Callithrix jacchus: one gene and its partners. The protein of the gene in region 2 interacts with the protein of the main gene of each other region in a pairwise test. Links are inferred from orthologs where the notes say so. Each region holds a gene or a part of one and is shown on either strand. Other genes may lie near its edges.

Region 1 (4,443 bases), on a different chromosome or scaffold from region 2:
CCTTTGTCAGAACATCGATACAAAAGGCTCCCAAATGCTGGGCACAAATGTGTCTGCAAACAGATGGAAGTAAACAGTGCACTGGCCCAAATGCTTCATGAGTCAGTTTGATTTTGCAATGCAATTTGCATCCTTGAAACTGCCAGTCTGGAGGGGGACGGGGTAGCGTGAGGGAGTGAAGTTGAAATTGCCTCCTATTAGCTCACCCTTTCAACATTAAACAGAGACCAAGAGAGAAATGGTTCCAACATTTCACCACATGTATTTCTTCTTATGCAGTCTAAGCTGAGAATGCCATGTAAATGGGTCACTGCGAAATGCAGCAATTTAATTTTTTCTCCAATCAAAATAAGAAACAAACCAGTATGATCTCACTTCTATTAACTTTTGAAGGTTTACAGCAGTTAAAGTATTTTTGCTTCTATGTATGAAGGTTAAAAAAATCATTTTTTTTTTTTCATAAAATACAAGAGCAACCAATTTCACCATCGAGTAAAAGTAAAAACTGGGATTCTTTTTTAAATTAGTCCAAAGTGGCATTTAGGAACTTAGTTGTAGGCTGCTGCGCTGACACCATGACAAACCAAAGTGTAGGGTTGGGTCTGGTTTTGTTTCGGTTTCTTTTCAATATCCAATGCTCATGGATTAAGTTCTGGAAATGTTCCAATTGTAAGGCAGGGATCTGTTTGGATTCCACCATGGGTATGCTCCTTGGGTTGGATGCTGGAGGGTGAGGCACGTTTTGCCGGACCCATGTCGACTACCTAGTAGTCATCAAGGTCAAAAAATTCATCGTCTCCTCCTTGGTATTCCATTCCCTGGAAATCTACTCGGTACCGCAAGATACCTGGGGAAACAAACCAAAAGGTAAATTACCGTGTTCATGGAATGGGCCATTGGGTGTAGGGGGGCTGGTCACTCTAATAAGGGAAGCCCTATTCTCTTGCAGAATTATAGAAGAGGTAATAAAAAACATTGATCCAAATCAGGAACCTGCACCTGCTGCCTCAATTACCCATCTCAGTAGATAATGAGCACCTCACCTGAAGCAGGGTGAACCAGGAGGGGCCTTGGCCTGAGACCCTGGTTTTAAGTTTGGTTTGCTGATTTTCTACTCACCTCCAATTCCACCAAAGCCTTTCACAAACTGAGACCCTTCTTGTGATTTATCTGTGACAATTTCCAACGTAGCTCCAAATTTTTTATAGTTGTTAGCAAACCATTCCAACAGGGGCATGCTCTCAATAAGCTCATGTTCCTGTCCGGTCTATAGGGGTGACCATGAGATACAAAAATGGGGGATTAGGATATTATCAAGGCTTATTAGGCCCTCTCACAGCCCCTTGCCCAACCATCGCTCTCATCCTCCCACTTACATGTCTGTCTGTGTGTAAAGTCTGTAAGTAATCTCTGGTTTTGATAACATAATGGACATAAGCAGATAAATTCAGATTATTTCAAACAACACTTCTCTCCTCAGGCTCTATCCTCAGCAATGAAATGTCAACACAAACACTCTGGGTTTTCAGCTTATGATTCCCATTGTTGACTCTAGAAGTCAGGCTGTTGTAGTATCTTATCTCTAAGCAGCACTCATTGAATGGCCCAGAAGAGACATGCCAGGACTACTTTTGGGAGCAGCCTTGTAAAGAACAAAGCTCTTCAAATCAGAATTTGAGGAAGGTATGATTTAAACCTATCTCATAAGGGAGTGTGATACTTTAAACTGTGGTGATGCATTTAGAGCAAACCAGAGAAGCCACTACAGTTAAAGAGATGATAAAGTGAAGAAAGCAGCACAGGTTTCACAGTGCAGGAGAGACATTATGCAAAGTAAATTTTCCTCTCTATTAATGATTTCAAGGATAAAGAAATTTTTCCTGATTGCTTAACTAATTAAAAACACAAAACAAAAACAGGCCAGGCATAGTGGGTCTGGTGTGTAATCTCACCACTTTGGAAGACCAAGGCAGGAAGATCACTTGAGCCCAGGAATTCAATACCAGCCTGATGAACACAGCAAGACTCAGTTTTTTTTTTTTTTTTTTTGAGACGTAGTTTCACTCTTGTTACCCAGGCTGGAGTGCAATGGTGCAATATCGGCTCACCACAACCTCTGCCTCCTGGGTTCAAGCAATTCTCCTGCCTCAGCCTCTCGAGCAGCTGGGACTACAAGCGCGCGCCACCATGCCCAGCTAATTTTTGTATTTTTAATAGAGACGGGGTTTCACCATGTTGACCAGGATGGTCTCGATCTCTTGACCTTGTGATCCACCTGCCTTGGCCTCCCAAAATGCTGGGATTACAGGCGTGAGCCACCACGGCCGGCCAAGACCCAGTTTTTATTAAAAAAATTAGTCAAGTGGCTGGGTGCGGTGGATCACCTGAGGTCAGGAGTTCGAGACCAGGCTGGCCAACATGGTGAAACCCCATCTCCAATAATCTATGATTGTGCCACTGCATCCATCCTGGGTGACAGACCAGGACTGTACCTCAAACAGAGGCTGAAGTAGGCCGGGCATGATGGCTCATGCCTGTAATCCCACCACTTGGGAGGCTACTGAGGTAAGCAGACTGCTTGAGCTCAGGAGTTCAAGACCAGCCCGGGCAACATGATGAAAACCCATCTCCATAAAAAATTCAAAAGTTAGTTGGGCAAGGTAGTGTACAGAAAGGCTCAGGCAAGAGGATTGCTTGAGCCTAGGAGGCTGAGGTTGCAGTGAGCCAAGATCGTGCCTTTGTACTCCGGCTTGGGTGACAGAGTCAGCCTGTCTCCAAAAAACAAAACAACAAAAATAGGCTGCAGTAACTATGATTTGGCCTCCCTCCCTGGAATCAGAGATGATCACTTCCTACAGTCCCCCAACAACCCCAATTAATATGTGGTTTGGTTTCCCAAGGCTGACCCTCTACACTCCCAGTGTACTCTAACACATGGATTTATGCTTGCATATATCATCAAACCAAGAAAATAATCACATACCTCTTTGTCTGTGAAATGAGATTTATCCTTTTCTTGCTCTGGAGTTAGATAGAGAATTTTCTCCTCTGTAGTATTAGGAGGAAAAAATATGTTAACTTGGCTCTCATATACTAATCTGTATAAGCTCCATAAGTTGAGATTAGATGAGAAAAGGGCTCAGGGACTTGATCTCTCAACCTTTTTTCCATAAGCATGTTAGCATACATTGAGTGTCTACTAGGTACAATGCTTTAACCATAAGAAACATCAGAGATGTTCAAGATGCAGTCCTGGGCAGATTTAACAATCTTAAGTAGACATTAAACAGTTCAAGCAGAAAAATCTATGCAGGAATGTGCTACGGACTGAAGGAGCGGGGAACAAGGGGTAGATCTACTTTCTGATTGTTCCTGAAATCAGCCACCTTCCCCCAAATCTCCACCCCAGGCTTCCTGGGTCAGTAAGAAATACCAACTTTATTTTCTTTTTTCAACCAACTTTATTTTCTAATTCTCCTACCTTCTGTGCCTTGGCAATGAAGAACATATCTCATTATATCCAGATTTTCATAGACTATTAGAATTTCTACAGCTCCCATTTCCAAAGCCTTTAGTGTATCTTCAACGCCAAAACAGTATTTGCCCGTGTCCTGGCTGATTTCATCAAAGTATCGTCCTGTGATTAGGGACAAGTCAATAGAACATACATTAAAATTTTCTTAGATACAAACACACCTACTTGACCTAATGACTAAAGAAGATAAAAAATAATGCTTTCACTGAGGCAAAAGTGTTAATAAAAATGCTAAATTCCTCTCTTTTTACCTTTTTGATGCCTTGTCTCATACAATCATGTACATACATACATATGCATACACACACCCCCTCCAAAAACAAAACATTTCACGGAATATGTAGTTGCATTTCACTTATACCTATTAATTTCTTCTCTTGAATGAATTTCACGTTGGAGAGGACTTCAGTAGATAACTCAATAGCTTGGTTGAATCCATTTTCACCACCATAGGATATATCAACTAATTTTAAAACTTTCGATTGTAACCTCTGACATACAAAAAAAAAATATATATATTATTAGTACTTCAAAACACCTTTACCGAAACCCACTACCTCTTAAAGGTATGCAAAGCTCAGCATTATGGTCGCTGAAGTCTAAGTATGAGAAAGGAGCCCAATTTAATAAAAAGCTGCTCTTACAGTGAACAGCACTGCCAGGGTAAACTTTCCCAGCTAATCACATTAGACATTTTATTAGACCTACTACAGGATAACTCTTTAAGTGCAAACAAAAATAAGTTCTTGTAAAGGAAAAGGGGAATCACTGGCTCCTGGCAAATAAGGTAGCAGAGGTTAAGATGGGCTGGGTACGGTGGCTCACACCTCTAATCCCAGCACTTTGGGAGGCTGGGACAGGCAGACAGCTTAAGTCCAGGAATTCTGAGACCAGCCTAGGCAACATGG
Region 2 (4,820 bases):
TGAAGCCTTTGCGTGTAATTCTGAGAAAACAGAAACAACTTAACCATCTGTCCCTAATGGAAGAGACAGAACACCAGGCAGCTGGTTACAGGAATGTGACGCCACAGATGGTCTAGAAGATCTGAAGGAAAAAAGGCAAGTTGCAGAATGCAGGCAGCATCATCCATTTGTGTAAAGGAACAGAACATTGCTGCAAAGTTTTTCTGTTTGTTTGTCGTAAGATTAGAGTGGGGCTGGAATGGTGAGAGAGTAAGATTTGCTATTTTACAATTAGCCAGGCACGGTGGCAGACGCCTGGAGTCCCAGCTACCTGGGAGGCTGAGGCACAAGAATTGCTTGAACCTGGGAGGCAGAGGTTGCAGTGAGCTGAGATCCAGCTACTGCACTCCAGCCGGAATGTCAGAGGGGGACTTGGTCTCAAAATCAAGCAATCAAAATGTGACTTCACCAGAACCCTGCCTGCTGGTCCCTCAATACATGTAGTCCCTCAGCTGCAGCATCTGGCTTACCTGTGGTGTGGCCAACAGCCCTGGTTTATGTGGCTTGGGGGCTGCCAGCCTTTCTATGCTCAAACTTGGATAAATGGGTCACCCAGCCCGAGGTCAGGCATCACTGCAGGTTCGTTCACCACCATCTCCCCAAAGCCCAGAATAGGGACTCAAAAGAAGTTGGTTTTTGTGGAGTTGGAAAGTGGGTGTAGGCCGGGCAACATGGCAAAAATAAATTACAAAAAATAAATTAGCAGGGCATGGTGGTCCCAGCTATTGAAGAGGCTGAGCTGGGAGGATTTCCTCATTGCAGTAAGTTGAGGCTGCAGTGAGCCGTGACCACCCCACTACACTGCAGCCTGAGTGACGGATGAGATTGTCTCAAAAAAAAAGAAAAAAGAAACAGCTGATACCAAAATTGCTTAATTGAATTGACTAAACTTTTTTTTTTTTTTAAAAAAACAAGGTCTCGGCCAGGCGCAGCTCTTTGTGGGCTGAGTGGGGCAGATCACCTGAGGTCAGGAGTTTGAGACCAGCGTGGCCAACACGGCAGAACCATTTTCGTCTCTACTAAAAATACGAAAATGAGCCGGGTGCGGTGGCTCATGCCTATAATCCCAGCACTTTGGGAGGCTGAGGCGGGCGGATCACCTGAGGTCAGGAGTTCAAGACCAGCCTGACCAATATGGTGAAACCCTGTCTTTAAAAAAAAAAAAAACGAAAATGGCCAAGCGTGGTGGCTCATGCCTGTAATCCCAACACTTTGGGAGGCTGAGGTGGGCAGATTACCTGAGGTCAGGAGTTCAAGACCAGCCTGACCAACATGGAGAAACACTGTCTCTACTAAAAATACAAAATTAGCTGGGCATGGTGTTGGGTGCCTGTAATCCCAGCTACTTGGGAGGCTGAGGCAGGAGAATTGCTTGAACCCAGGAGGTGGAGGTTGCGGTGAGCCAAGATCGAGCCATTGCACTCCAGCCTGGGCAACAAGCATGAAACTGTCTCAAAAAAAAGAAATTGACCTTGGGGAGCCCTAGGAGATGTGGAGATGTCACAAGGAATTAGCTCCTTTGTCTTCCAAGGCAGCTGAAACTTAAAGACAACTGTGTGGCTTGCTGATGGGGAGAAAGATGCCCTACATATCAAAATGCGACGGGTAAAGATTCCAAACTGGTTTCAATGACCAGCCCTAAGTCAAAGAGAAGTGTATTTCAGGAGAAGAGCCCTTTCTGTCTCCGGGTTTCAGACCTTCAGCCGAGAGCCAGGGTGAAAGACACTAGTTAGTCTGTTCTTTATTTTCCTTGGAAAATTACAGGGTTACTTATCAACAAAATAACTGTCCAGGGAAGTGCCATTTGGTGGCTTGTATGTACAGTTCCATCCCTAGGAACCGTATTTCCAGAGGGGGCCTCCCCGTGAGGCCCCCTTGGCACCCTCCCAGGTATCCAAGAACAAATCATAAGGTGACGGCTGCTGGAGTGGGTCGGACCCAGGCCTACTGCTGGGCAGAGGGTTTGGGGGCCTCTCTCCTGGAAACCTGCTCTTCTCACACCCCTGTTCCCAGCCAGGCTGTCTTGGACACTCCTGGGGCTCTGCTGAGGGCACATGGTTCCTGCTTTGGACTTCTTTTGAGATGTCATTTTAACACTGAGGCATCCCGGCCTCCCTTCCCAGAGGATGGGTTATTTGCAGTGCCGTCTTTTCTTTCAGTCCCGGTTTTTATACAAAAACAACAATATTCCCCATTGGACTGTGTTTTCGTCCAAGAAACAAAAGTGCCTCAACAGGTACAGTTCTGCTGGTCGATCTGCTTCCGACAGGGCTCCATGGTGACAGCCACGCCCACCCCACTCCGGCCTGATGTCATTCGGGTCACCTCACTCCAGGTGTCTGTGTCTGGGTCATAACACTCCACACTGTCCAGGAATGTGTGACCGTCATAGCCTCCTACAGGGAGAACAGAAGGGACGGTTACCACCTGTCATGCCACATCCAAAAGCAGGGGACAGAAAGAGGGAGAAGCAGCTGCAAGATACAAAAGCAGGCCGGGCATGGTGGCTCACACCTATAATCCCAGCACTTTGCAGGGCTTAGGCGGGAGGATTGTTTGAGGCCAGGAGTTCGAGGCCAGCCAGGGCGACATAGCAAAACCCTAGTCTCTTACAAAAAAAAAAAAGGCCAGGCATGGTAGCTCAGGCCTGTAATCCCAGCACTTTGGGAGGCTGAGGCAGGTGGATCACTTGAGTCCAGGAGTTTGAGACCAGCCTGGGCAACATGGTGAAGCCCTGTCTCTACAAAAAAAGACAAAAATTTAGCCAGGCATGGTGGTGCTCGCCTGTAGTCCCAGCTACTAGGGAGGCTGAGGTGGGGAGGAACAGTTGAGCCTGGGAGGCCGAGGTTGCAGTGAGCAGAGATTGCACCACTGTACTCTAGCCTGGGAAACAGAGTAAGACCGTGTCTCAAAATAAATCAATAAAAATAGGCCGCTCATGGTGGCTCATGATTGCAATCCCAGCACTTTGGAGGCTGAGGCGGGCAGATCACCTGAGTTCAATACTATCCTGGACAACATAGTGAAACCCTGTATGCACAAAATGTACAAAAATTAGCTGGGCTTGGTGTCGCATGCCTATAATCCCAGCTACTTGGGAGGTGGAGATAGAATGTTTAAACCAGGGAGGAGGAGACTGCAATGAGCCAGTGTTGTGCCACTGCACTCCAGTGTGGGCAACAGAGTAAGACTTTCTCTCAAAAGTAGTAAATAGATAAAAATTTTAAAACATAAAACAAAAGCTGGACAGAGTGGCTCACGCCTGTAATCCTAACAGTTTGGGAGGCCGAAGCAGGTGGATCACTTGAGGTCAGGAGTTTGAGACTAGCTTGGCCAACATGGAGAAACCCCATCTCTACTAAAAATACAAAATTAGCCAGGTATGGTGATGTGCACCTGTAGTCCCAGCTACTTGGGAGGCTGAGACAGGAGAATTGCTTGAACCTGGGAGGCGGAGGTTGCAGTGAGCTGAGATCGCACTATTGCACTCCAGCCTCGGTAACAAGAGTGAAACTCCTCAACAAAACAAAATAAAAAGAAATAAGATTAGCCAGGTGTGGTGGGTGCATGCCTATGGTCCCCGATCCTTGGGAGGCTGAGACAGGAGGATGGCTGGAGCCCAGGTGGTTAAGGCTGCAGTGAGCTGTGATCACACTACTGCACTCCAGCCTGGGCAACAGAGCAAGACCCTGTTTCTTTTCTTTTCACTTTTTTTTTTTTTTTTTTTTTTTAAGAGACGGGGTTTCACCATGTTGACCAGGATGGTCTTGATCTTTTGATCTTGTGATCTGCCCGCCTTGGCCTCCCAAAATGCTGGGATTACAGGTGTGAGCCACTGCGCCCGGCTTTGCTTTTCTTTTTTAGATGGAGTTTTGCTCTTGTTGCCCAGGCTGGAGTGCAAGGTGCAATTTCAGCTTACTGCAACCTCTGCCTCCCGGGTTCAAGCAATTCTCGTGCCTCAGCCTCCTGAGTAGCTGAGATTACAAGCGTGCTCCACTATGCCTGGCTAATTTTTGTATTTTTAGTAGAGACAGGGTTTTACCACGTTGGCCATGCTCGTCTCAAACTCCTGACCTCAGGTGATCTACCCGCTTCAGACTCCCAAAGTGCTGGGATTACAGGCGTGAGCTACCGTGCCCAGCCATGAGACACTGTTTCTAAAAAAAAAAAGAAAAGAAAAGCAAAAGCAGCCACCTGTCCACAACAGATGAGACTAGTCAGGACTCTTCCCCACCCCCAGGGCCTCACCAAGGACGTAGATTCTCCCCTGGTGCACAGTGATCCCCAGGGCACTTCGCCGGTGCTTCATGGGGGCCACGAACGTCCACGTCTCTGTTTCCACGTCATACCGCTCCACGCTGTTCAGCTGATCCTGACCATCATAGCCCCCGGCAGCATAGATACAGTTGTGCAGGACGCAGACACCTAAAGGACACCGTGCACAGAAGGTGATTCTGGGGTCTGGCTTCAGGAACCCCAGCCATCACCTCCTTGAGGGAGACTTTTCCTCTCTCCTCTACCTTCTCACCCTCAGAAATGAAGTGGGAGAGAGAGAAGCTTGGACTCCATCAGAATCCAGTGCTTCTGTGGGTACCCAGGGTGAGGGTGACAACAGGGGGGTCTCTCCCAGGCCTGGTTCAGTTTCACCCTAGGATGATGAGGGGGTGGTGGTCCTGGACGCTCCCCTCCCTGCCGTCCTCAAGTACCTGCCCCGCTCCGGATGGTGTTCATGGGTGTGATCATTCGCCACTCGTTCCGCTCTAGATAATAGCACTCAGCTG
Region 3 (5,385 bases), on a different chromosome or scaffold from region 2:
CATGAACCACCACGCCTGGCCTTTTTTTTTTTTTTTGAAAGCCTGGAAGCTTCTAAGACCCTTAGATCACAGAAGAGACTCCCTTCTCCCCCTCCATATTTAACAGCCCCACCCCTTCCCTACCTCCCAGACCCTCCACAATCACTCACGATCACATCAAACTTGGAGTAGATGTCCACCACACGCCCTAGGGGGACAGAGGCAGCTCAGTAAGGAGGATCTGGCATCTAAGACTCCCCCTACTCAAAGAATCACCCTCCTGGCTGAGCTGAGGGGAAAACAGATTTTCCTAGAGCCCCCCTAATTTCCCTGGATCTTCCCTCCCTCTCCTTCTGCCCAATCTCTTACCCTTCTCATCCACCACTGGCAGAGCTGAGACTCGATGCTGTACAAAAATGCCCAGAGCCACATAGACGGGGGTAGTAGTGCGAACCATAGCAATATTGGCATAGGTGCCAATCTGTAGCTCTTCCAGAGACTTGGACATGAACTCTGGCTTGGGAAATTCAGTGATCTGAGGAAAGAACCATCAACTTAACTTTGAAGGCATGCAAAACCACTCTTGGATAGCCCTCCAGTCCAGTACGTAGAAATAAGGGCTGGTTGCGCCAGCTTATGCCTGTAATTCCAGCACTGTCAAAGACTGAGGTGGCATATTGCTTGAGCCCAGGAGTTTCAGACCAGCCTGGGCAATACGGCAAAACCCCATCTCTAAAAAAATACCAAAAAATTAGCCAGGTGTGGTAGTACACACCTGTAGTCCCAGCTCCTCTGGGGGTTGAGGTGGGGGTAATCACCTGAGCCCAAGAGGTGGAAGCTGAAGTGAGCCGTGATAGCGCCTCTCCACTCCAGCCTGGGCAACAAAGTCAGACCTTGTCTCAAAATGAATTAATAAATAAATAAGAACTGGGACTGGATGCAGTGGCTCACACCTGTAATCCTCATCTCTTTTTTCAACAAATAAATAAATAAATGAAAAAAGAGAAAAAGGAACTGGGCTGAGGAGTACTTACAAACAATTTGAGGAACTTCAGAATGCGCTTGTGGGTGAGGATGTACAAAGTATTGCCCGATTCTGGGTCAATAACTGGCAGCCTGTGGATCTTGTTCCGAATTAATGAAGAGACAGCATCAAACAAGCTGTGGGAGGGTGGGAGATAATAAGTTCCACAGTACTGGGGCTGAGGGTGGTTAAACTGCTCCATACAGTGTACAGGTAACAGGGAAAACTGATGGTTAGGGAAGCGGGGCAGTGTACAGGACAGATGAGAGAGAGAGAGAGAGAGAGTGTGTGTGTGTGTGTGTGTTTTCTCTCTTCTTTCCCTTTCCCTGGGTGTCTAGAGCATTAGCTATGCTGATGGCAAATCTCTTCCCCCTTTGGACAGATGAATAGACAGCTGGAACTCACCTGGCATTAGGAGAAATGCAGACAAGCGGTTTAAAGGAGTCCTGGAGGTACACCTCTGAAGGGAAAAGGGATGGGTCATAAAATACCACCATGGAAAAGCGTTTCCCAGAAACCTTCCATCCCTTTATCTTTTTACAACCCCAATTCTCTACATACCTCTCCAAGTTTCTATCTTGTGTTCTTCTAGCTCATAGATCTGTACCTGAAAGCAGAAGCAACAGAATTTGAGACCTGAACTCTCTACTTCCTTAAGCCCTTGTGGCTTGCTTGGAGGAAAAGAAAGGAGGAGAATGAGGGACTTAGGGTAGAGAAAGTGACTTTGTTCATTAGGCTGAAGTTCCTTACCAAGGCTGATTTATAGTAGCGGTGCAGAATATTGATGAAATCAGTGATGGTCAGCATACCTAGAGGACAAGACAGAGCCCTAAGCACTGCCTGAAGCTTCTATCCCTGCCCAGCACAAGATGCTAATAATACTGTGTTGCAGAAACGTTGGCTTACCCACAAAACTTTGCTTCTTACTATCCCATAAAGGGGCAGCTCGTACACCGTTAGTCACCAAAGCAAAGAAAGCTTTCTTCACCTGTAGCCAAGACAGAAATAATCATAAAGGCAAACCCATAGGGGCAAGACTGTAAAAAAGAACAGTGTTTGAGCATGTTGGGCAAAACATGAGACTAAGTTCACAGAAGGATAAGGATACTACCCTTGGGATGAGACAGGATGAAAGGTATTAAACCAAAGCCTCCAAAAGGGGAAGGGAAAAGAGGATTTCACCCACCTGCAGGGATGTATCAAATACAACCAATTTGGAGCTTGTGGGAATCAGGTCATAGCAGCGATGAGACTTCATGAAGGAAGTATACACGCTATTGTTGGATTCTGGGGTCTCTGCATAGGGTGGAATAGTTAGTAGCTTCCTTCCACATTGAAAACTCCCAATCAAAAGAGACAGAAAACAAAATAGTGTTCTCGTGTCTCAAATATTTAGAGCATGATTTTTTATAAGGTCCCTTATTTTATCTTTTGTTCCTATTGTTTCCACAAAGCCTGGATAAACCTCTTAGAAACCATTTCATCCAACCCCTATCTCCAGATTAAGACTTTATCTATTGGTCCCTATAGGTATAAGAAAGTTAACTAAAACCTAAAGTCTATAGTATCTCTTTAACATGTTATATATAAACTTTTTTCTCATCTTTAATCTAAGCTTTCCCTTTCATATATTTAGCACATTTTTCACTCGTTCTCTGTTTTCAATGAAGTAAGCTTCTTAAAATTCTTTAAAGACTGTGCTGGGCATGGTGGCATGCACCTGTAATCCCAGCTATTCAGGAAGTTGAGGAAGAGGATCATTTGAACTCAGGAGTTTGAGGCCAGCCTGGGCAACACAGCAAGCCCCTGTCTCAATTAAAAATATATATATATCCTGGCCAGGCGCGGTGGCTCACGCCTGTAATCCCAGCACTTTGGGAGGCCGAGGCGGGTGGATCACGAGGTCAAGAGATCGAAACGATCCTGGTCAACAAGGTGAAATCCCATCTCTACTAAAAATACAAAAAAAAATTAGCTGGGCATGGTGGTGCACGCCTGTAGTCCCAGCTACTTGGGAGGCTGAGGCAGGAGAATTGCTTGAACCCAGAAGGTGGAGGTTGTGGTGAGCCGAAATCGCGCCATTGCACTCCAGTCTGGATAACAACAGCGAAACTCCATCTCAAAAAAAAAAAAATAACCTAAGACCTGCAAATGGGAAAGTCATGGTCCAAATTGGGCCAGTTCTGATCAACAGTAAGTTAGAGCCCAGTGCTCGATCAACCTGGCTCAAAACACCTTGAGAGTACATTTTGGGATCACCCTGTAAATCAGAAATCATCCCACCTACTTGAGACAAATGGGAGATCCTGGCTAGGTTTACCTTTTTCTGTTCCTGTGATTTTAATTGCTTGCTCTAAACTAGGGAAGCAATCTCCCAAAATAATAGCTTGAATGTGCTACATACTATACTAAATGTACTTAAAAATATTACATTGGCTTGGTGAGGTGGTTGATGCCTGTAATCCCAGCACTTTGGGAGGCCAAGGTGGGTGGATTACCTGAGGTCAGGAGTTTCAGACCAGCCTGGGCAACATAGCAAGCCCCTGGCAAACATGGCAAAACCCCATCTCTACTAAGAAAAAAAATACAAAAACTAGCCAGGCGTGGTGTCATGCGCCTGTAGTCCCAACTACTCGGGAGGCTGAGGCAAGAGAATCGCTTGAACCCAGTAGGCAGAGGTTGCAGTGAGCCGAGATCCTGTCACTGCACTCCAGCCTTGGCAAGACAGTAAGACTCTGTCTCAAAAGAAAAAGAAAAAATTACGTCATTTAAAACTTACAACAAATCTGTAAGTACTGTCCTGTTTCAGATGAGAAAACAGGTGTAGTTAAATAAGCTGCTCAAAGTCACTCCAATGCCAATGAGTGGCAAGAAAGACTCAAACTCAGATCTGATTCCAAACTTCATGCTCTTAAGTCTTTAGCCAATTTGTTTAATTTTTTTTAACCAAAGTTATACAGGCACACAGTTTAAAGAGTCAAACACATTTACAAATTTTGTTAAGAAAAAAAATGCAGTCCTTGCAACCTACCTCCCTGTACTACCCTTCCCCAGAGATGAGAACATCCACCTCTTTTAGTTGATTATTTTGGTACTTAATTCTATGTCCTTAAATAACATGCTTGTATTGCTAGTTTCAGATTTTTTTTTTTCATTTTGGGGCATTATTTATCATCTACCTACGAAGGAAGATGAGAATTTCTATTTCTCTTTCCTACTAGGGCTTCATCACAAACATGTACTTCCCATCCTTCCCCTACTTCCCATCCTCCCCCTACTTCCCATCCTCCCCATTCTTCCAGGAGCTAAAACATATTAGATATATCTGTATTTAAATCCTTTTTTTTTTTTTTTTCCCCTGAGAGGGAGTCTCACTTTGTCACCCAGGCTGGAGTGCAGTGGCAAAATCTCGACTTACTGCAACCTCAGCCTCCCAGGTTAAAGCAATTCTCCTGCCTCAGCCTCCCAAGTAGCTGGGATTACGGGCGCCTGCCACCATGCCCGGCTAATTTTTGTATTTTAGTAGAAATGGAGTTTCACCATGTTGTCCAGGCTGGTCTCAAACTCCTGACCTCAAGTGATCCGCCCACTTCAGCCTCCCAAAGTGCTGGGATAACAGGCATGAGCCACTGCAGCCAGCCGGTATTTAAATCATTGTGACTGAATGTTTATTATTCAGAGATAAACCGAATAGTAAACTGATTTTTTTTCTTCCTTTCACAACTTTGTCTTCCCTGGAGTTAATGGTCTTGTCCTTCTGTTTAATTTTCATTTTTTTGAGATAGTCCTGCTCTGTAGCCCAGGCTGGAGTGCAGTGGTGCAACCTCTACCTCCCAGGTTCAAGTGATTCTCCTGTCTCAGCCTCCTGAGTAGCTGGGATTACAGGCATGTGCTACCATGCCCAGTTAATTTTTATATTTTTTAAAGTAGAGACAAGGTTTCACCATGTTGGCCAGGCTGGTCTAGAAATTCTGACCTCAGGCAATCTACCCGCCTCAGCCTCCCAAAGGGCTGGGATTACAGGCATGAGCCACCACACCCAGCCTGTTTGTTTAATTTTCTATGTATAATTCCCATAACTAATCCAATCCGCAAATGCTTCAAGAGGTTCAGAAGCATTAGATAGTCTATCAATTTAAACTACCCAAAGAAGTCTCGCTGGAGCCTTCTGACTGCTCAAATCTGGGCTGGTTTGTCTGGTGTGCACTGCTGTCATCCTGGAATCTTTCTTCATCACCATCCTGGGTACCCCTTTCAAGTCTCTCCTCTACGGGTGCTCCTGTTTCCTATATCCCGTTTTCATCTTTTTTGATTACTCCCTTGTTTTAGTAGAACAGATCTTCCAGTAGCTTCCTGAGAAAGGGTGCATGAGAGGTACATTT

Evidence for each region.
Region 1: the proteins of KEAP1 (region 2) and ETF1 interact in binary tests that used the Homo sapiens proteins (3 or more experiments, as listed by UniProt). The two-hybrid records come from large-scale screens. The link is inferred for Callithrix jacchus from reciprocal best matches to the Homo sapiens genes KEAP1 and ETF1.
Region 3: the proteins of KEAP1 (region 2) and PRKAG1 interact in binary tests that used the Homo sapiens proteins (3 or more experiments, as listed by UniProt). The two-hybrid records come from large-scale screens. The link is inferred for Callithrix jacchus from reciprocal best matches to the Homo sapiens genes KEAP1 and PRKAG1.

Annotation. Positions count from the first base shown.
Region 1 is NC_133503.1:36,922,868-36,927,310, forward strand, and holds part of ETF1 (eukaryotic peptide chain release factor subunit 1), read right to left. Parts: intron 4,027-4,443; coding exon 3,897-4,026; intron 3,638-3,896; coding exon 3,482-3,637; intron 3,049-3,481; coding exon 2,984-3,048; intron 1,268-2,983; coding exon 1,120-1,267; intron 848-1,119; coding exon 765-847; 3' UTR 1-764. UniProt on the Homo sapiens protein: Component of the eRF1-eRF3-GTP ternary complex, a ternary complex that mediates translation termination in response to the termination codons. The eRF1-eRF3-GTP complex binds to a stop codon in the ribosomal A-site.
Region 2 is NC_133523.1:9,671,216-9,676,035, forward strand, and holds the end of KEAP1 (kelch-like ECH-associated protein 1), read right to left. Parts: coding exon 4,746-4,820; intron 4,465-4,745; coding exon 4,288-4,464; intron 2,436-4,287; coding exon 2,269-2,435; 3' UTR 1,756-2,268; downstream 1-1,755. UniProt on the Homo sapiens protein: Substrate-specific adapter of a BCR (BTB-CUL3-RBX1) E3 ubiquitin ligase complex that regulates the response to oxidative stress by targeting NFE2L2/NRF2 for ubiquitination.
Region 3 is NC_133510.1:70,552,646-70,558,030, reverse strand, and holds part of PRKAG1 (5'-AMP-activated protein kinase subunit gamma-1), read right to left. Parts: intron 2,300-5,385; coding exon 2,190-2,299; intron 1,992-2,189; coding exon 1,910-1,991; intron 1,813-1,909; coding exon 1,754-1,812; intron 1,611-1,753; coding exon 1,565-1,610; intron 1,464-1,564; coding exon 1,409-1,463; intron 1,141-1,408; coding exon 1,014-1,140; intron 515-1,013; coding exon 349-514; intron 188-348; coding exon 150-187; intron 1-149. UniProt on the Homo sapiens protein: AMP/ATP-binding subunit of AMP-activated protein kinase (AMPK), an energy sensor protein kinase that plays a key role in regulating cellular energy metabolism.